Linked DNA regions of Notamacropus eugenii. The protein of the gene in region 1 purifies or fractionates together with the protein of each later gene. This does not show direct contact. Links are inferred from orthologs where the notes say so. Each region holds a gene or a part of one and is shown on either strand. Other genes may lie near its edges.

Region 1 (6,991 bases):
AGCTTGAAATCATGTAAAATCTCCAGATCTTTTTCACATGAAATGCCTCAGCTTCCCTATTTTACATTTGTACAGTCCATTTTTTGAAAATTTTTCTAAGTCACAAAAGACTATGTGCTGTCACTAGGTCATTTTCTTGACAATAAATGATATAAGAACCTATTTTTAATTGTAGGAAAAGGTAACCATAATGTGTGCATTCTGGCTACGTAGGTGATTATTCAAGAAAAGTAGTTTCTAAAGCTATATATAAAAATATTTTCTTCCTTAGGATATAGTCACTACAAATTAAGAAATCTTTAAAAAGAAATACTACTATCCTGTTTTTTCAGCAAGAAAAAAAGAATAAGTTAGCTACAAAAGCTAATATTTTAAGTTTCTCAGGGGGAACAGAATTTATTTCGTTTTTTAAACTACTTACAACTTAATATTTAATACAACTGATTGCTTTATTAAATAAACACATATTTTCATTTAAAAAGCACATCCACAATACACACAGGATTAAACTAAATTTAACTAATTTTGGTTAAATGCAACTATGTCAAGTTCTTGGTAACAGATATTCTAATGGCTGTGGCAAAAATATTCATAATTAACCTAATGACTCTGCAAAAAGCATCCAACAATCATAATTGGGAAATAAAATAATCAAACATCACAGTTTTACAACATCACATCAGCAGAATATTTCTGACTTTTCAAGTCCTTTCATAGCTATACTGTTTCTGATACTTATTACATTAAGAGACAATATTGGAAAAAGAACTAGGGCAACCAGATGAGTCACTTGTCAATGTGCCAGCCTTTTAGGAAATTACTATGTGTTGCTATCTATCTGTAACTAAAACAGCGCTAGAAATGATGATGAAAAGGAACACTTTGAAATCCCCAAGAAATAAAAACACCTAAAATTACTGAGGTAACATCTACAATTAAACCAAGAAATTTTGACAATTACTTACATTTAAGGCTTGAAAAGTACTTTTCTAAAACAAAAAGAAATTTTTTTAAAAAACTAGAAAAAAGTATAATTACTCAGTTTTTACAGATGTTGACACTGAAATCAAATGACTTGCCCAAGGCCATTATTAAGTTATAGAGTCTGGTGTCCAACCAAGTCTATCCAGCACTCATTCTACTCTACCATTGTTTCAATAAGAAAATGACTAATAATAGATCAAATCATTCCTGGACCTAATAAATGGTTTTACAAATGATTACCTCATTTTATCCTCACAACAACCCTGGGAGATAGGTGCTATTATCTCCATTCTGCAGATGAGGAAACAGACGGAGAGAAGATGACAAGACTACACAGCTAGTATCTGATTCCAATTTTCGGACCAAGTTCATCCACTCTTAACTCACTGTTTCAGTTGCCTTCACTCAGCTATGACCCACTCAATACAAAGACAGGCTGCAAATACATTACCTCCATTCTTAGTTTCAAAATACTTTTTTTAAAAAAAAGATATATACCTATCTGCAAATACATTTGGAAGACTTTTCTCAAATATTTATCACAAATAATCACTAAACATCACAATATCACTTGTAAATAACATCTAGTTCTTAGACCTACTTCATTTACAAATTCTACTTGATGAAAACTGAAGTCATACGACAAAGTAACTGACCTCAATTTTCTAAAAGCCACGGCCAGCAAGGTGAAAATGAAAAAAAAAAAAAAAGCTCAAAAACTTGTTATAAACACTTGTCCGATAATTTCCCAATTTCAAAACAATGGGCATTTTTTCTTAGTGGTAAGATCCTGCTTGACCACTAAAGCTTCAACAAATGCGTCCTGAAGAAACATTTTCAACACTGCAAACATCTTTTTAGCGATTCACAGATAGCATACAGACTTACTTACGTCTGACCTCCTTACAAAAAGAAAAAAAAATCACTAGAACTGTTAAATTACACTTAGGCACATGGAGTCACTCTTCCCTCAAATCACTTTACAGAGAACTTCCCCGTTTGCTCCGCCCCTCTAATAACTCATGCAAAAAAAAAAAAGTTCAGCACCATTAGAAAGGAACAGGACGCGGACGGTTGGCAGGATGGCAAACGGCTCTGGACCCCCGGGGAAGGGTGCCCCGAACGCGTCCTTCCCCCGAGGTGCAGACCCGCAGCAGCGGCCCGAGTACGGGGCTGCGGACACCGTCACTCTGCCAAGGGCTCCCTTTCTGCAGCCGCTCCTGCGGCCATGCCTCCCCGGAGCAGCACAAGGCCGCATCACCATCATCCTTATCCTTCCGTCGCTACATTGGGGGGGGAAGTTTCACGGCCCCCCCCCCCCTCACTGCTCAGGGTCCCCCATGGAAGGGTCACTAGGTGCTGCCCCCCTCCCCCCAAACCCGCGAGCGCTACCTGCCTCCCCGGTGGTTCCCCCCCCCGCCCCCTTCACGTCGCTGCCCCTCCCCCACTACCTTCTCGGCGGAGGCCTGCGCCAGCAGGGGTCGAGGATGTGGGCTCGGGGGCCCGGGGCCCCCCCGGTCTGGGGGGCCGCTCTGGGGAGCCCCCGGGGGAGGACGGACGCCGCCGCCCTACCGGAGTGGAGCGACCGTGGCGGGGCATGGGGAAGGGGTAGGCCCCCCCGCGAGGCCAAAGGAGTCTGAGGGCGGCGGCCGGCGGGGTGCGGGGCCCGATCCCTCCCTCCGCCCCCGGGGCCCCGGCTCGCCGAGCGCGGCCAGGCCCCATCCGCCGGCTCCCAGGAAACGAGAGGCAGGTCCCCGCGTCCTCGTCCCGCGGCGGGGAAGGACGGGGGGAGGGGGGCACGGGGTTGGGGAGGGGCCGAGGCTGAGGCTGCGCCCGCGCCCGCGCCCTCACCCCGGGACCCCGTCACTGCCGCCGCCGCCGCCTCGGAGGGAGGGCGGGAGCTGAGAGGGAAGCCTGGAGTGGGAGCGAGAGGGCGGAGGGAGGAAGCCCGGGTCTTCCCGGCTGCCCGCTCCCGAGCCCGCTCTCCGCCTTCCCGTGTCCGCGTCTCTTACCCGTGATGGCGGTGAACTGCTGGATTAACCCTTTCAGCGCCGAGGAGGCCGCAGAGCCCCCGTGCGCCGCCATCTTGCCGCCGCCGCCGCCGCCGAACAACAACACAGACACACAAGTCCTCCCTCCCCGCCGCACGCTCGGCGCAAGCGCGCTGCTCGCCCCGCCTCTCGCTCCCTCTGCAGGGGCCCCGCCCCTCCCCGCCCCACTGTATGCTCTGCGCAGGCGTCCCACCCAGCCCTTCCCACTCCCCCCTTCTCTCCTTAGTCCTTAAGTACGCTACTCTGCCAGCCCCCTTAGCGACCGGGTCCGCCCTCTTTGGGCCGGACTGCTTTCGGTAGCCCCGCCGCCGGTTCTTTCCGTTTCAAATTCGAAAAGCTTTATTGGTTGCCTCCGCTACGGACACTCGGCCTCGCTTTTTTTTCTCTTTAGCGCGGGGTGATTTACATCTTTGGCTACCCGGCGTGCTCCGCGGGGCATCCTGACGGGAGTCCGGCGGCTCCCGGCAAGGGGTCCCCCGGCGGTGCCGGCGGGGTGGGCAGAAGCAGAGCTGGCGCCCCTCCCATTGGAGCGCTGGTCTCCCTTCTCGCCAAACCCCCGAGCAGGGCCCCTGGCCGCCGCCTCCCTCTTCCCTAACCTGTGCTGCGTCTCCCGTCCTCCTGAGCCCTTTTCTTTGCGAGAAGTTGGACTCGTGTGATAGAAAAAAACAACGTGCCTTCCATTCCTCCGTGCATTCCTGCCAGCACCCTTTACTCATCCTTTCACTTCTCCATCCGCTCATTCAATAAATTCGAACACCCTTCCTTGAGACTCAGATTCCTCATCTGTCATCTGTGGGGAGGGAGCGAGGGAGGGAGAGGAGAGGAAGGGACTGTAGCCCGGCCAGGGAAGGTCACTTCTAAGCTCCCTTCCCACTTTGACGTTCTATAATAAGGTAACCCTTCAATCCTCCCCAAGGGAGGATCCCAGAAATCGGGGCGTCAGAAACCTCCAAAGCCACATTTGAACCGCTTTAAGAAATATCCCTTAGACGAGAAGGAGGACTGGGAGATAAAGGGAGCCGAGAAGCCTGAGCCTGGGAGTCAGGGAGGAGCGCTTCTGGCCTCGGCCCACCAAAGCCTGCGGAAGTGGGCAGGAGATCGGGGCGCCGCCCCCGCCCCCGCCCGTGGAAGCAGCCGGGGCAAATCCTGGCCTCCCCAGAGGATCCGAGATCCTCCCGGCGCCCTGGAGCTGCCAGAGGCCTTCATCCCGGGACTGCCTGTGGGAATGGGGACTGAAGAGGAGAGGGCAGGGGGGGCCGGCCACAGCGAGCCTTTTGTTCTCTGCTTGAAGCTGGCACCGCTGCGCTTCCCGGCCAGAGAGCCTTTGTCTGGGGTCTTGGACGAGCCACTCAGCCCCGAGAGGAGTATTGCGAGGACGACGATCGTTCGTTCCTGGGCTGGGCGTCCAGCTGCGGTTCCCTAGCGAACGAGGAAGCGTTTAGGAAGCTCTCACTAGGGGGGAAGCGCTGTGCTCCTCTTCACTGGGAAGGCACATGGAAAAGCTAGCCCGTTCCTGCTCTCAAAGAGCCCCGTTCTAACGGGGGAACAATGCATGGGGATGGTTTCAGCTGCAAGACGGGCAGATGGGGGGAAAGATGCCCTGGTCCTTGGGGCGCAGCGTCAAAGCAGATGGCGACGGTTCTTCTTCAAAGTCATTCCCCTGATAGAACCACATCGGATGCTGAGCCATTGGAGGCTCCGAGGACTGCGGGGACCAGAGTTTTCTAGGTCTTTAGTGACTGTGGCTGCAGCATCTTCGCAGGTCTTGGCTGCTTCCCAGGACGGTGGGTTGGAAGCGCTGCTCTTCCCAAAGTTCTTGGGCAGAGGTCCTGGGCGCACGGTGGTGAAAGCTTTACATGCCTGGCAAGTGCTGCCTCCCACCTCGCTGCTTCAGCTCTGGCCGGCTTGCCTGCTCTGTGGGTGGCAGGTAGTTACAGACTTTGTCCAGGGAGCCCAATCTGGTCCTCCGTCCCCTCCCAGCCTGGCTTCCAGACTTCTGAACCATGCTGTCTTATGCTGAAACTTCTCTCAGCGCTTGGGGCTTCCTCACCCTAGAACATCCCTCTGTTTGGTCACCCCCTTCTGCTATCAGAGAGGCAGCTAAGTGGACCTGGATCTGGAATCAGGATCATCTGCAGTCATCCTGATGAATGTCTGGTCACTGATTCGGATGGCTCTGGAGAAGTGAGGCTGGCGACCTGCACAGCCCTCCCTCACTCAAAGCAAAGTCAAGGGCAAGTCACGTCATCATTTCTCTGATGGCATGGTCTTCTTTGGCAACGAAGGACGAACACACACTTTGTGGAGGGGACTATGTCCATCTTCATTCTCCTTCTGGCCCTGTTCCTGCTTTCTAGATTTTCAAAAACGTATCCCCATTAGAATGTGAACTCCTTACTATGGCCAAAGGGCTATAAAACTGTGCATCCCCTTTCATCCAACCATATCACTACTAGGTCTATATCCCAAAGAGATCATAAAAAAGGGAAAAGGACCCACATGTATGAAAATAATATTTATAGCAACTGTTTTTGTGGTGGCAAAGAATTGGAAATTGAGGGGATGCCCATCAACGGGGGAATGGTTGAACAAGTTGTGGTATATGAATGTAGCAGAATGCTATTGTGCTATAAAGAAATGGTGAACAAGCACATTTCAAAAAAACCCAGGAAGATTTACATCAACTGACAGAGTGAAGTCAGAACCAGGAGAATATTGTACGTAGTAACAGCAATATTGTTAGATGACCAATTTTGATAGCGTTAACGTTTCTCAGCAATACAGTGATCTAAGAGAATTCCAAAAGACTCATAATGGAAAATGCTATCCACATGCAGAGAAAGAACTATGGAGTCTGAATGCAGATCGAAGCATACTGTTTTCACCTTTTTTCCTTTCTCGTGGTTTTTCCCTTTTGTTCTTATTCTTCTTTCATAACATGACTAATATGGAAATATGTTTTACATGATTGCACATATATAACCTATATCAAATTGCATGCTGTCTTGGGGAAGGGGGGGGGAGAAAGGGAGAAAAAAGATTGGAACTCAAAATCTTGTCAAAGTGAATATGGAAAACTGTCTTCACATGTAGTTGGAAAAAAATACTGTTAAGTAGGGGAAAAAAGAATATGAGCTCCTTGAGGGTAGGGCCTATATTTTCTTTTTTGTTTGTGTCTGTATCACCAGTATTTAGCACAATACCTGGCACATGAGAGCTTAATAAGTGCTTTTTAAATTTTTTTTCTTTGTTCTTTCTCTTCCTTCCTTCCTTCCTTTCTTCTTTCCTTTCTTTCTTCCTTTTTTGCTTCTTTCTTTCATCCTTTCCTTCCATTGTTGGGGTTCGCTGGCCCCTTCTCCTCAAAGAATTTTGGAGAGGATAGACATGGGGAACATAAAGGTTGAAAGGAACTGGGAAACAGTGGCATCTAGCCTGGCTTTTGTGCCTATGGAAACCAGAGAGAGGGGGGAGGGACTAAGCTGGAAGCAAGACCAGTGGTCTCAGTTGGTCAGCAGTTCTTGCTGGCAATAATGAGGAAAATGGGAACCTCTCCACAATGATTTCTCCTCTCAGGTGGCTGAGCTGGAAGCAGGTCTGATGGTTTGGGTGGCACAGCTATCCTTGAGGCTTTTAAAGATCCTGGGCTATTGGTCAAGGTGACGGTGGTGGTTCAACCTACCTAGCAACATCCTACCTTCTGTCTCTACCTTAGGGTACCTCTTAGGAGATGAGTTTGAGTGACTGGGACTCCCCTGTCCCCCAAGCGGGACACACACACACACACACACACACACACACACACACACACACACACACACTATTTGATTGGCTAGAACTCTTGAGAGTAAAAGCTCTTATCAGAGGAGTTATTCCTTTGGACTGGCCCTTACGGAGGCCAGACCAGAGTTCCACAGAGCTTACCTGGATTCTTTTAGGGGGAAGCCAGGTTATGTGCC
Region 2 (7,278 bases), on another chromosome or scaffold:
TCTTCCTCCCTCCCCACATTGAGAAGACAAGCAATTCAATATTAGTTATGCATGTGAGTCATGCAAAACATTTCTATAACAGTCATGTTAAACAAGTAATTTTTTTAATTAGTTTTTTTTTTCAAATACAGGTTTATTTTCCTATGTTACTATGAAACAAGTACTCGTGTGTTATGATGATGAGGTCTCATTTTATTTCTTTATTGAATAATTGAACTTTTTTTTTTGGTGGGAGTAAGGGGAGGAAAGACAATAACTGCTACCTGTTTCTTCTTGGTGATCCTATGAAAGCTAAGGAGAAAACAGAGACTTTTCATTTTTTACTTTATACTAAGAGCCTAGCAGATTGCATGGGCCAAAAGGATGATACTTAATAAATGCTTGTTGAATTGTACTGTGTGTTCAATTACCTTTATGTTGAGCACTTATCTCTAAACCTAGCTGAGTGAAACAGTTAAACTAAGAATGTAATACAGAAGCCTACACTACAGTATCAATTATTGAACATGGATACTTCTACTAACTGCTCCGATCAGAGGATTTAGAGCTAAAATTAGGTCGTTGTGACATTAGGTGGCTTGGTCTACCTCTCCTATGTTCGATTTATTCATCCATCAAATGAGCTAACTTTTGTACTGAGTATCTCAAAAGTGTGGTAAGAAAAGTACTTAATTGTTGTTCAGTCTGTCCAACTCTTTGAGACCCCATCTGAGGTTTTCTTGGGAAAGATATTGGAGTGGTTTGCCATTTCCTTCTCCAGCTCATTTTATAGATGAGAAAATTAAGGCTAACGGGTAAGCGATTTGTCCCGGGTCATAGAGCTAAGTAAGTGTCCGAGGCCAAATTTAAACTCAGGAAGATGTCTTCCTGACTCAGGGCCAGGCACTCTATCCCCTGCATCATCTTATTTTTAAAAGAAGCTTATTCATTTATTTTTACATGCATTTATGTCACTTTCAAGCTGTCTGTCCTTCCTGTTCAGCAACAACTCCTTCTCAAAAAAGGGAAAGAAAAAAAAACTCATCATAAACATGCATAAATCCCTTCAAAAATGAATTTCCACATTAGCCATGCCTGAAAATGTATGTTTTCCTGTATTTAAATTCATCATTTCTCTGACAGAGATTAGTGATGTGTTCCATCTTTAATCCTGTGGGCTTATAGTTTATGATTGCAATGATCAGAATCCTAAGTATTTCAAAGTTGTTTTTCTCCATAATATCCTATTCATAGTTCACCTAATTCTGCTAAGTTTTCTCTAAAACTATCCATTTCATTATTTCTTATGATACAATAATATTCCATTCAAAAACGACAATTTATTCAGGCATTTTAGTTTCTAATTTTTGGCTACTACAAAAAGAGCTGCTAGAATATTTTAGTATATATAGGTCCTTTTCCTCTTTCTTTTATCTCTTTCAGGTATAAACCTAGTAGTGGTATAACTGAGTCAACAGATGCACAGCATTTTCCATACAGTATTTCCAAATTGCAGAAAAGCAGTAAATGTTTTAAGCACTATGTAAATGTGAGTAGTTTTCACCTAGTCCAGTACCTTAATTTTATATACGAGGAACCTGAAGCCTCATGATCACACAAGTTGTGTGGTCTGGCTAACTCAGATCTTCCTATTCAAAATTAGTTTCTTCATTTATAAAATTTCTACTTCCTTAGGCTGCTTCTACAACCTCATATTATTCCTTTTGATATATGCAGTTCCTGAATGTTTGGGAGTGATTAGATTCCATGGCCTCACAAGTATATAGAATCATAGTACAAAGAAGTACCAAAACTGGTCTTAGCAGATTTAGTCAACATTTTGTTTTTATTTTGGACCACTGGATAGGATTTTGGTGGGGGCCTTTGGGGTAGGACTGATATTGAGGTTAAACATATTTATGTATCCAGCAATTTCAAATTATTGCTATTCTATTTTGCAATCTCTGCTATCATTCTAAGAAGAAACCCCTGTAGAGTTGTAGCTTGGCAACTGTTCCTGAAAGTGCTATAGCCACAGCTACTGCAGACCCAGAAAAGAAAATTTTTTGCCATCAGGGTCCTTGGCACTGTTAAATGGTTCAACCTCAGTCAATAAACATTTGTTAAGTGCCAGGCACTGAAATGAAAATAAAGGAGAGGCTTTAACATCTGCTGTGCCACTGTACCCTAAGGACCACAGGACCTTTTCATTTGATTTGTGTTGTCTCCTCCATTACAATGTGGAAAGGAGAGAATGCCTTTTCTATTTGTATCTTATTTGTATTTGTACAGTGCTTTGCACATAGTAAACACCTCATAAGTTCTTTTTTCCTTCTTTCCTTTTCCTTCCTTCAGGAATTCAGAGTTCTTGTCATTTGCAGAGTTCCCAAAGAGAGATGGGATGGCACTGTATTTGCTTTCATAAAGCTAGCTGAATCAACTGGAAGTTCCAGATGAGAACTGTTATTTTGTCTGTTTTCAGGTGGATAAAATTGACAATTTGGCACACTTGGCTCAAAAAGATGAATTCCCTTTATAGCTGATTCTCCCATAGACGACATGAAAGGAGGATGTGAAATTTTTTAAAAGATACTGTTTAGTGAGCTTTATTACAGGAGGTATCTCCTGCTAGGATGTAATTGGCTTCTTGAGGATAAGGAATTATTCACTTTTTTTCTTTGCTTGCTTGGTGTCTGGCATAGTAGGCACTCAAGAAATCCTTGCTAATTTATTGATTTGTTTTGTGGTAGTGGTTTGGGGGGTTTGAATCTGAAAATCTTACTGTTTTAGCTAGGTGAAAAAGAGTTCTCTGGTTTACGAAAGTGATGCAAATTTTACTCTTCTTTGCAACATCTTATTTGTGCAAGATAGGATTTTCTACAGTAGCCATTCGACAAACTATTGATTCTGTTTAGGAGTTTTAAAAGAATGATGAATTATATTGCTATTTAATTATGGTTAATGCACCATGAACTAGAATAGCATACTGGAGAGAACTGGCCTTGGAGGCAGAAAAACCTGTTGTCAGTTCCCACCTCTGCAACATATTGGCTTTGGAGGCAGAAAAACCTGTGTTTTTAAGTTCCCACTTCTAACACATACTGGCTGAGCAAGTCACTTAATCTCTTAGTGCCCCCCCACCAGTTTATAAATTATAGAGAAGGTCCTAACTGCTTAAGAGTTTTTCTCACTAGGTCATTACCTCTACCAGTGAAACCACGGTAAATCCATTTCTGTTAGGACAATGACACGTTTAAAGAAGCTACTTGAAGGAAAAGTTCATCCATCACATCAATCATAACATATCATGATTATTATTTTAAAATTATAAATATGAAAAGTGCAAATTATTTTAATCAGTATCTATACATTTTTACTGCATGATTTAAGGCTTGTGATGAAAACATTCTTAACTATATTTAAATAAAAAACAAAATTATTTGCATGGGCTGCTTGACAAAAGGAGGGAATTGAGGGAATGACACGTTCTGGAAACCACTGCATTTTAGAGGAATTAATAATGACTGGAAGCTTTTGGTTGTCAGACATTTTTTTCTAATGGGTGTCCTCATTAAGTGGTAGTTAGGTTCAAATTCTAATTCACGTGGAATTAATATGGAGAGAGAGGAAATGGGGACCTCGGCAATAATCTAATTTCTTAATTTTTGCGGATGAAAAAAACGGAGGCTCAAGGAAGTAAAAAGAAATTAATATCGAGTGCCTTCTATGGGCCAGAGCACCATGCCACTTTACACGTATTATCTCATGCGATCCTCACACACACACACCCCCCCCCCCCCCCCAGGAGGTAGTGCCACTATTATCACCGCTTTTTCAATTAAAAAAACTGAAGCGACTAGTCCTGTGTTACAATATTGCTAGCGTCAGAGTTGAATTTGAAGTCACATCTTGCTGATTCCAGGCCCGCCGCTGCGCCCCCTAGCGGCCCCCAGCGACTCGCTTTACTGTTATCATTAGAGGCAGGGATTGAACTTTGGCCCCAGATTCTTTAACTAACGTTGGCTAAAATAAACAGGCCATTTATTCCCCCAGGAAGCAACCCAAAGGGGCAGAAGGAAGGGAAAGACCCAGGTTGGCCCCAGCACTACCTCTTCTAAGTAGGCCCACCTCCTCCATAGCAGAAGAGCTTTACAACGTCACCTCTGGCGCGTGCGCAGAACAGTTGGCGGTTTGGGAGGACGAGCGGATGTTGTCTTGTGACGAGCCCCGGGGGGGGATCCCATCCCTTTCCTGAGTTAACCGGAAGCTCGCTATTGGTGACCTGCGCCCTACGACAAAAGATCGCCGCCGCTGGCTCCTCCTCCGCTTGAAGGAGTGGGGGGAGAGAGACGCTCGCTTGTGCTTACAGCACAAGCTGGGGATAGAGCGGCTTCTTGCCGGTCGGCGGCTGGATCGCTTGGGGTTATTCCCGAGAGAACCTTCTTTGTCTGGACTGCGCCGGAGCCTTCAGAGGTGAGCCGTGGGGGCGGACAGGAGGTCCAGGACGGGGGCGACGGCCCGATTCTGGAGCTCCGGGGTGTCAGGAGCACTATTCCCAGCGTGGCGAGGCCCGGCCTGGGGTTTCGAAGAGCTGGGCCGGGGCCTGGCAGCTGTGGCCGTTGCTGCGGCCCGGAGGGGCGTCCACGAACCCCGCCGAGTGTTGAGGTTGGTGAGTGGGGGTACTTCCCGGGCTGTCGGGGAGCCTGCACTTGTGGAATGGGGCTGAGAGATCATTTGGAGCCTCCCTCTACTTGAAGAGGGAGGGCCGGAGCCGGAGCTGCAGCCCCTCGGGCCTGGGGGGCGTTCTTCGAATGAGAAAGTGCAAACTCCCGTGGGTGTTATTTGCTGCCCCGCCGTAGGATCAGTTTAGTATGAACACCTACTGTAACAGCACTTGCTATGCTAGGTCTAGGTATACAAAAAAAAGAAACTATCCTTGCTTGCTTCTATTCTAGTGGAGATTAGGTGTGCGTGTGCAGCTTAAATATAACATATATATTAGAAGCTCTTAACCCGTGATCTCTAACTCTAAAAAATCTAAAGATTTTTTAAAATTAATTATACTTTGATATAATTGGTTTCCTTTGTAAGTCTACGTATTTTATTTTTGTGTTTTTAAAAACTTTTCTGAAAATGTGCCCTTAAGCTTCCCCAGACTGTCAAAGGGGTGATGACTCAAAAAATGTCAGAACCTTGTATCTGTCCATCTATTTAATCTATCACAGCTATGTGGCATAGTCGATACAGTACTGGACCTGGGATTAGGAAAATCTGAATTGAAATTCGACCTTAGATACTGGTCAGTTACCATGTGTTTCCCTCAACTTCATCTGTAAAATGGGACTAATAATAATGATGGCACCGGCCTTCCAGGTTTGTTGTGAGCATCTAATGAGACAGTCCTCGAAAGGCAAACCATTTATATAGCAAGCACCTTAAGGTTTGCAAAACACTAGCCTTAGCATCTGTGTAGCACTTTACAGTTTGCAAAGCACTTTATGAATACTTTATTCTCATAACTACCTTGAGATTTGAAGGCTATTATTATCTCCATTTTATTGATGTAGAAACTGAGACCAAGAGAAGCTAAGTGACTTGTGTCTCACACAAGTAAATGTTTGAGGCAGGATTTAAATTGAGGTCCACCCACCTGTTGAATTTAGGTTCAACATATCATCTCTTGAACCACCATCTACCTATACAAAGTAGTTAAAAACTGCATTTCCAAAAAGCTTGGTACATTTTAGAGGGGAGGCACTAGCATTGGAAGGGGAGAGGTTGATCAAGAAAAACATGCAAAAAAGGCAGTTTCTGAGCTTCATCTTGAAGGAAAAGAGATGGTGAAGTAAGGAGGGTGTGCACATTGAATTCCTCATTAGGAAGTGATCTCCTTTAGAACAGGAATCTTGTTTTTATGCTTCTTTGTATACCTAGCATAAGTTAGCATTACTGCTTAATAAATTCTTCTTGATTTAGTGGACTTAGTGTCTTCCAGGCATGAGGGTTCAAAGGCACTGAGAAGAAGATGGAGAGAATGTAGCATATTGAGTTCATTAGAGAGCAGGATCAGAGAGAACAGGATGATTTGGCTGGATTGGAGAGCTTCGGTCTTGGATAAGAGACTTCTTTGTTCAGTCTGCTAAGGTAGAGCAGATTACTCAATATGGACCCCTTGGAGATATTGCCAGTTGGGTTTTAGACCTCTGCAATAAATCGAATATCAAGCTGATATCTCGATAAAGCTAGTTACATGAATTGTTTTGTTTCCCAGTGCATATAATATTTGTTTACTGTAGTCTATTAAATGTGTACTTGTACTATATTGAAAAAAAAGATATACATACCTTAATTTAAAAGTACTTTATTGCTAAAAAACAATGCTGTCCATCTTCTGAGCCTTCATCGCATTGTAATCTTTTTACTGGTGGAGGGTCTTGCCTTGATGTTCATGATTGCTGACTGATTAGAGTGGTGGTTGCTTAAGGTTGAAGTGGCTGTGACACTTTCTTAACATAAGAAAAAAAATAAAGTTTGCTGAATTGATTCACTTCCTTCCACTTGAACACTTAGAGGCCATTGTAGGGTTGTTAATTTTCCTAATTTCAATATTATTGTGTCTCAGGGAATAGGGAAGCTCAAGGAGAGAGAGAGAGAGAGAAAGGAGGGAATCAGTTGGAGGAGCAGTCAGAACATTTACATTTATCAGTTATGTTCACTGTCTCATATAGGCAAGGTTCGAGGTACCCCAAAACTATTACAATAGTAACATCATAGATCACTTGGATCACAGATCACCATAACAGATGTAATAGTGGTGGAAAAGTTTGAATTATAGTGAGAATTACCAAATTGTGAGGCAGAATGTGAGCACATGCTTTTGGAAAAAATGGTGCTGAAAGACTTCCTAGAGACAGGATTACCACAAAGCTTCAGTTGGTAAAAAAAAAAAAAAAATACAATATCTTCCAAGTGCAATAAATGAGATATGCCTGTAAATAGAATAAGGTAATCTTTGATTCAGTTCAGTAATCATCTTTCAAGCTCTTCCTGTGCACAAAGTACTGTGCCTAAATCCTGAGAATACAAAGTCAAAAGAATTTGTCTATCCTTAAAGAGTTTACTGGGACATGAGAAAGGCCGGGAACATGAGTAAGTTTATGTGGGTAGAATATGCCAAGGGGAAAGCAAAGATCCAGGCAGAATACTCTAGAAAATTTGATGAATATGAAATCATTTTCAGCTGGGGAGAAAGCTTCCTAGAGCAGATAACCCCTAACCTTTGTCTTAAAGGAACTGAGT
Region 3 (7,540 bases), on another chromosome or scaffold:
TGGGCTATCAGCTCAGCCATTTTTAGCCCATCTTTTGTAGTCCAAACATCATTCTCCTTGGCAGAGAGGCAAAATAAACCAAATGGAACAGGCACTAAAGAGGAATGGAAAAATATGACTGTGCATAGACTACTTGACCTTGAGCCAAAGAACATGAGTACACCATGCCCAAGAGGTCAAGATGCCCAGACTAATAGGACACAAGGGAAACCAGAGAAATGGTTATGCATGCAGATAGATGACAATGATGCTTACCAATGGAATGAGTGCCTTTCACCGAGCTGCATGTTCTTTGACACACATTTTAATTACTGCATACTTTGAATGCTTTTGCTTTTAATATTTTCTTCTTCATGTCTATTTGCTTTTGTGTTAGAATTATTCCTGTTTTGTGGATATATTTGTCTATTAAATGTACACAATTTCGTTGTTTGAACATACTCTGTTACCTGCATTTTCGTTATTCTGTAAGCCTACTGACATTACTGTTTCATATTTGCTTTATTGTAATGTTTATTTGTGCTCTAGGTTCTAATTCACTTAAATTTTTCCAACCACATAAAAATGCTTATTCATTGTTTAGTCTTTGTTTAGGATCATTTGTCTAAATTCCTTCATTATTTTTCCTGATTTGGGGTGGGGGGAGGAATTGTAATGATAGTCATCATTAAAATCTCTGTATATCTCTGAATATATATATGAACTGGGCAGCGAGGCAGTCCAGTGAATATAGTGCTGGACCTGGAGACTCATCTTCATGAATTCAAATATGGCTTCAGTTACAAGCTGTGTGACTTTGGGCAAGTCACTTAACCTTCTTTGCCTTCATCTGTAAAATGAGGTGGAGAATGAAATGGCAAACTACTCCAGTATCTTTTTGAAGAAAACCCTAAATGGGGTCATGAAGAGTTGGACAGGACTGAAACGAGTAAACAACGGCAAACAACATATATGTATTGCTATGGCATGTACATGTAATATGTCCTATGTATATAATTTAGACCTGTAGTCACTGAAGTGTCCTGTTGAGAGAAGATGCTTCATGCTCTGTATGGTATATGCTCTGAATATTTGCTGAGACTGGCACCCTGAGATGGTTAACTGGGATTCCAGGTTAAGTATCTTTTTTCTGTTAAGTGCCGGTGTTTATTTTTGGTTAGAGGGCTAGATCTGGAGTCAGGAAGACCTGAGTTCAAATCCTTACTAGCTGTGTGACCCTGGGCAAGTCATTTTACCCTGTTTGCTTCAGTTTCCTCATCTATAGAATGAGCTGGAGAAGAAAATGGCAAACCACGCCATTATCTTTGCCAAGAAAACCCCAAATGGGGTCACAAAGAGTCAGATGACTGAACAATGACTGAAGGTGACCCTGGGCAAGTTATTTCACCTCCATCTGCCTCAGTTAAAGCTCTTTACAAACACAAAGAAACTATATAAATGCTATGATGATGATGTGATATATAATTCTAAATGTTGAACACACTGTAGCTGATTTTGCAAGGAATCATAACATTTCTAACCCCAGGAAAGAACACAATGTGACTGAAAGCTCAGTTTCCCTTCTTCCTGGGAGCTATAAGAAGAGATTACGTCCCCTAGGAGGTAAAAACAAGATATTGCTCAAGAAGATAGCGCCAGGAGTTTATAATGTTGAGGTTTAATCTGGACCCTCTCTGGGGAGTGGGAAGGCACTTAGTTGTTTGCTAATAATGAGGATGGAACAACTCTTACCACTAGGTCTCCTATTTTACTTTGGCTCTCTCCCAGGGAATCTGTTTTCCTTTCCTCATTCTATTAAAAGATTTATTTGCTTTCCGTTTTTCAGTCATTTGCTTGTAAAGGAACTCGTTACTCCAAAGTAAAATGTTTGTGGATTGTATCATGGGTTCTAGTGTGTGACCTGGGGGTTGGGGTAGGGAGGATTAAAAGTCACCATAGAGAAGGCTAGCAGAGTTTGATTGTGCAACTGTAATACATATTTTTGTTAGAGAAATTCTCTTGGGCTGAGGGCTTAAGACAAACCAAAGAGATTTTTATCATGACTATTATTATAATTCCCTCAAAGCAGGAAAAATAATAAGGAAATCTAGACAAATGACTCTAGACAAAGACTAAGGTATGAGTAAGCATTTTTACCTAGTGGGAGGAAGTGTGGTGAACAGAATTTAAAAGAAGCTCCAGTGAGGCAGAGGCCAGCAGGCAAATTTTTGGCTTCCTTGCTAGAGGCTAAAGACTGCCCCATATTGGGCTTCCCCCAACCCCTGTCAGTTAGGGAGAAGAAAAAGGTGATAATTAGAGAAAAATTTGCACCCTTGGGGACTCAAAAAGAGTGGAGTTGGGAAAGAGTGACTCCCCCACCTCCTAATGGGAGTAAAGTAAAACTGACTGAGCTAGGCTCAGGGCATAAAAACAGGAGCTAAAAGAAAGGCAGTTTCTGCCCTTCTAAAGAATGAAAAACACAAATAAAATGTTAGTGGTTGTTCCATTGTCTCCAATTTGGGGTACTCTTGGCAAAGACACTGCCATTTCCTTCTCCAACTCATTTTACAGATGAGGAAACTGAGGCAAATAGGATTAAATGACTTGCCCAGGGTCACACAGCTAGTAAGTATGTGAGGTCAAATTTGAACTCAGGTCTTCCCGACTTCAGGCCTGGCACTCTATCCACTTCACCACCTAGATGCCCCACAAGGAAGCTAGAAAGGGTAAAATGAAGGTGCCTGGAGCCTGAGATGGGGAGGCAGTAAAGAAAAAAATCCTAGAGAAGAAACTGGAGCTCAGGCTAGAGAAAAATTTAGACCTGGGAGGGTCCTGGGGGTGGTGGTGATGGTGATGTCTACTCTTAAAATAAAGATTCTGGTAGAAGTCATCAAGTCAGAAGGAGAGGCCAAAGTGCGAAGTCCATGCCTAGAGTGAGCTTTTTGGCAGTTTTTTTTCAGTCGTGTACAACTTTCCGTGACCCCATTTGGGGTTTTCTTGGCAAAGACACTGGAGTGGTTTGCCATTTCCTTCTCCAGTTCATTTTACAGATGAGGAAACTGAGGCAAACAGGGCCAGGGTCATACAGCTAGTAAGTATCTGAGGCCAGATCTGAACGAAGATGAGTCTTTCTGACTTCAGCCCCGGAGCTCTATCCACTTTGCTACCTAGTTGCCCACTAAGTGAGCTTCCACACGCCTAATGCCCTGGTCCGATCACACTACTCCACTGCTCCAAAATATTAAACAACCTTTTTTTGGATTTGTTTGTTGGTTTTTTGGGGAACTCCCAATGAGGAAATAACACTCTGTTTGGGGCTCTGAGAGGGTATGACTGGTGTCAGAGATGGAGCTTGAAAGGAGGTTTTCCTGCTGAGATTCTGTACCAAACTACCTCCTTTTGCTTCTTAAATATAACCCAACTACTCACACCCCTGCACCTCTCCCATGAGTCCTGACCACAAACTGGCCTTTGGGATATATTTCCCACCCAGTATCCTTCCAGTACCCTTCACCTCCAACCAGATCATGCCTTACTGTTAGCCAACACCTCTCCCTCCTGGCACATGCAGTTCCCCATGCCCAAAGCCCTCCCCTTCTCATAAATCTCAGCTCCTTAAAAACCCCACCCCTCCACCCCAATTTAAAGCCACCTTCCCGGGAAGCCTTGGGTGAATCCCTCCTGGATGCAGACCAGGAAGCCTTCCCCAAGCCCTCTCACCTCCGGGGCTGAGGATTTCCTATTTATCCTGTGGGCAGGAGGGCGGCCCAGCGGACGGTGCCAGGCCTGGAGTCTGCAGACCTGACCCCCCACGCGAGCTGGGCCGCCCTGTTGCCTCAGTTTCCTCGTTGGTAAAATGAGCTGGAGAAGGAGATCCTAAGGCCCTCCACATGTCTGCTGGGAAAGTCAGAAACCCCCCGAGAACGACTGGCCGTGTGCAGACCGGCTGCCCTCCTCAGACTGCCAGCGCAGGGGCCGCTTCTTTCCTCTGCCCACCCGGGCTCGGGGTGGCGCCGGGCACGCAGCAGGCACCTCGTGGTCGCGCCCTCTCAATGCCTGGCCCTGTTTCTGCGTCCCGTACGTGGTTATGCTCTGTCTTTACCCAGACTTCCGAACGTGTTCATTTCTCTTCCTACAGGCCAGACTCGTCGGAGTAAACTGATCTAGGCGGGAACGAAATCGTTGTTGCCCGCAGGGAGTTTCTGTTCTAGAGTGGGAGAGCAGCCAGGTTTCCTTCCCTAGCGTTTGGCGCTGGCGCCGAAGTAGGCCGGTGGGGGCGGGGTCGGGGTGGAGGAGTGGGAGGGGGTGAGCCGCCGGACTGCTCCCAGGGCGGGGGGAGGAGCGGACGCGGGGCGAGGGGGAGGGGTGGCGCCGCGGTGGAAGCCGGAACCCTGTTTCCGGGTCTGTGTTCCTGGGGGGAGCGCGTTGCGCGAGGCACCGGGACGTCGGCTGCAGGCTGAGGCCGGGCGGGCGGAGCTGGAGCGGCGGCCGTGCCTGGGGAGCGGGCGGAGGAGCGAGGCCGGGGCTGGAGCCGGAGCTGCGGCTGCGGGACACTCGGGGCGGCGGGCGGCGGGGGCCGGGCTCCGGGGCCCGGCGACGGCAGCGGCGGCCATGGCCGAGAGCATCGTGAGTCAGTTCCCCGCGGGCCGGCCGGTGCGGGCGGGGAGGGCGAGCCGAGTGGGACGCCTCCGGGATGAGGCAGCAGATTTCCCCGCCGAGGCCTGCGGGGCGTGGACCCGCGTCTCTCTCGCCCCCTGGCACTCAGGCCTTCTGGCTCACCCCCTTCCCTGGCCCTGCCATCTGGGCCCTTTCTCATCCTCGGCCTTCTCCGGGACTCAGCCGCCGGGAGATCGCCGGCGTCCGAGGTGGGGGAGAGAATCTGCCTACCTTGGGGGAACACCCCGACCTTGGAGGCCAGGAGAGAAGGGTCCCAAATAAAAGAGAGACCCCTCTTACGCGGCCACAACCCAACCCCGTCTCCTCCCCCACCTCCCCTTTTCCCCTTTCTGCCCCCCACCTTCTCTTCCTCCATATGAACTCCAAGGAGCAAAGTAGCTACAGATAAGGACACCCCAGAAAAAAAGTCCCTCTCCCCCGGAGGAGGTCCGGAACAAAAGTACAGAAATAGGACGTTTTCCCCTCGATTTCCAAGGAAAGCTTGTTAAATGCTTGACTAAAAGAAACTTGGGAAAGGAAGTTCATTTTTCTTGTCTTGGGAGATCAGACTTTATCAATCACCCCCTAATACCTTATGGCACAATTAATCTGAAAGCCCAGAAACTGGTTATTTCTTAGGCTGTGATAAGTTTTAAGTGCTTTAGCAAAGAAGCTAATGACTCAGGGAAAATCCGCAGGGAGGATCGGGGCAGTAGCATTTTGGTGGTAAATAAAGAACGCGAAAGGAAGGAGCTGTGGATGCCCGGCTTGGGGAGGGCGCTTCTCGCACCTGCTGCGTAGGCAGCCAGCCCTCCCTGGGTCTCTCTGCCTTGAGCCAAACTTGTTCGTTCCAGACTTTTCACCACCCTCTCCTGCCAGCTTTCTGTTTATGGCACAGGATTCACTGGCTTGTCTTTAGGGAGGTAAAGGAGGAATGGTACAAGAAAATAAAGTATTGATGCTTTTAAATATAAGGTTGCAGAAATTAAAACAAAATAAGGTTACAGAAATCTAACTTGGGGCTCCGAATAGGTTAGGAACTGTTGGTAGTTTAAAAAGTTGCATTAGTACCTTCCGTTTACAGGAAAACTAAACCCAGCGTTCCATTTAGGATAAGAATGGTCAGATCTTGTTGTAGACAAAGTTCTTAAGTCTAATGATAGCCAGAAAAAGACCACTTTTGTAAGGCTAAGCCACCATTAATAAAACCTAGGTGTCCCATAGATGTTTTGACTGAACAACTAAACGCTTTTGCACTTACTAAATTTTTGAAATGTGTTTATTTTTTAGGGGAAAAATGAGTTGAGATAGATTGTTTCCTCTAAAGAATACTGAGTGTATTGTTGAGATCATCAAATTATTCCAAAACCAAGGGTCTAACTCTAATCTAGGTCTAGGTCATGGGTGGGGAACCTGCTTTCTGATCCTAGGCCACTTGTGACCGTGGGTGTCCAAGTTTTACAGAACAGATCATTTTATTAAGGAGATTTGTTCTATGAAGTTTGGATTCAGTCAAAGGGCCATACTTGAAGTCATAGAGGGCCACATGTGGCCTTGAGTCTACAAGTTCTGCACCCCTTGACTCTAGGAACCTTAAAAAATATATATATTTTGATGACTGTGCTTTAGTAAAATTTTCTTTTCTAAGCCTTTGTATGTGATTTTCTAACATTGTTCTGAGTATGAGTACATAGGCTTCACCAAATTGCCACAGAAATTTGTGGGGCCCCCCCCAAAAAAAGGTTAAAGCCCCTAAAATGTTAATTCTAAACATTCTGTTTCTGTGAAGTACATACAAGCTGTCATAGTAGTCCTTGTTTTATAGATGGAGAAATCTTGTACATTCAGGTCTTCTTGTGTCTTATAGAACTAGTACAATTTAGTTTTATCTTTTGTTACCAGAAAACTTGAAATTGGTTTGGGAGCATATATGGTTATGTTTAACTATATATGTTTAAAAACACTGTTTAAGATGATCAAATCAGAATAATTTCTATTTCAGAAATCTGGAATTCAGTCTCTTAGAGGAAGTACCTTGTGTTTTTGAGTAGAATTGATTAGTTCAGGAACTAGTTTTAACATTTCTAATTATTGTGGGAGAACAGGCAGCTGAATATTTTTTCTTAGTTAATTTAGAACTAGAGGATTCAAATATTAATGGCAGTGTTTTTATAAATACGTATGTGTTTTACATTGAAGTGCTTTTTAATATGGAGACATTTAGAGAAACTTGAATACATATGTAAGATGAACAATCCAAAAATTAAAAGGGCTAGTCAGAGTTAAAAGTTTAGGGTAAAACAGGTACGCTAGTTTTTCTAAACTTTTAATGAATGGAATGTCCATAATGTTTTTCCAAAAAATAAACTGCCTTAAACTTAGAAATTGACAACAGAGTTTTTCAGACAAAAGTTAGTGAGTTATTAGACATTGTTATAGTTGTTACAGTATAATGAGTTGTTATAATATAATGAGTACTGCATTTGGAATCAGAGGACTTGAGTTTTGGAATACTGAGTCGTCATCTTAATTATCTGTGACCTTGGGAAAATTATTTCACATTTCTAAGTCTATTTTCTTATCTGCAGAGTGAGGTGGTTGGACTAGACCTTTAAGATTCTTTTCATCTCCAGATGCTGTGATCCTTTGTTTTAGGATGACATGAATTAGTCTTGATAAATTCCATCCCAGAATGTGTCAAGTTCAGGGAATTATGAGCCAGTGGGGCATTTGGCCATGTAATAGTGGAAATAATTTTCAACAGATCATATATTTCTAAAAGAGTTAGGACTTTTATCCGATAAACAGTATGGTAAATGTTGAGAAAAATAACTATAGCAGAAGTGCTTTCTGGCAGTCTGTTGTTGCAGGGACAATTTCTGTTCATGTGGTTAGAGCCAGCATT

The links.
Region 2: the proteins of UBXN7 (region 1) and TOPORS purify together in Homo sapiens (affinity purification with mass spectrometry; 4 studies listed by BioGRID and IntAct, with this or other methods). This does not show direct contact. The link is inferred for Notamacropus eugenii from reciprocal best matches to the Homo sapiens genes UBXN7 and TOPORS.
Region 3: the proteins of UBXN7 (region 1) and NPLOC4 purify together in Homo sapiens (affinity purification with mass spectrometry; 3 studies listed by BioGRID and IntAct, with this or other methods). This does not show direct contact. The link is inferred for Notamacropus eugenii from reciprocal best matches to the Homo sapiens genes UBXN7 and NPLOC4.

The regions. Positions count from the first base shown.
Region 1 is NC_092876.1:335,918,129-335,925,119, reverse strand, and holds the start of UBXN7 (UBX domain-containing protein 7), read right to left. Parts: upstream 2,997-6,991; 5' UTR 2,707-2,996; coding exon 2,436-2,706; intron 1-2,435. UniProt on the Homo sapiens protein: Ubiquitin-binding adapter that links a subset of NEDD8-associated cullin ring ligases (CRLs) to the segregase VCP/p97, to regulate turnover of their ubiquitination substrates.
Region 2 is NC_092872.1:122,860,476-122,867,753, reverse strand, and holds the start of TOPORS (E3 ubiquitin-protein ligase Topors), read left to right. Parts: upstream 1-4,237; 5' UTR 4,238-4,452; intron 4,453-7,278. UniProt on the Homo sapiens protein: Functions as an E3 ubiquitin-protein ligase and as an E3 SUMO1-protein ligase. Probable tumor suppressor involved in cell growth, cell proliferation and apoptosis that regulates p53/TP53 stability through ubiquitin-dependent degradation.
Region 3 is NC_092873.1:325,532,073-325,539,612, reverse strand, and holds the start of NPLOC4 (nuclear protein localization protein 4 homolog), read left to right. Parts: upstream 1-4,466; 5' UTR 4,467-4,590; coding exon 4,591-4,605; intron 4,606-7,540. UniProt on the Homo sapiens protein: The ternary complex containing UFD1, VCP and NPLOC4 binds ubiquitinated proteins and is necessary for the export of misfolded proteins from the ER to the cytoplasm, where they are degraded by the proteasome.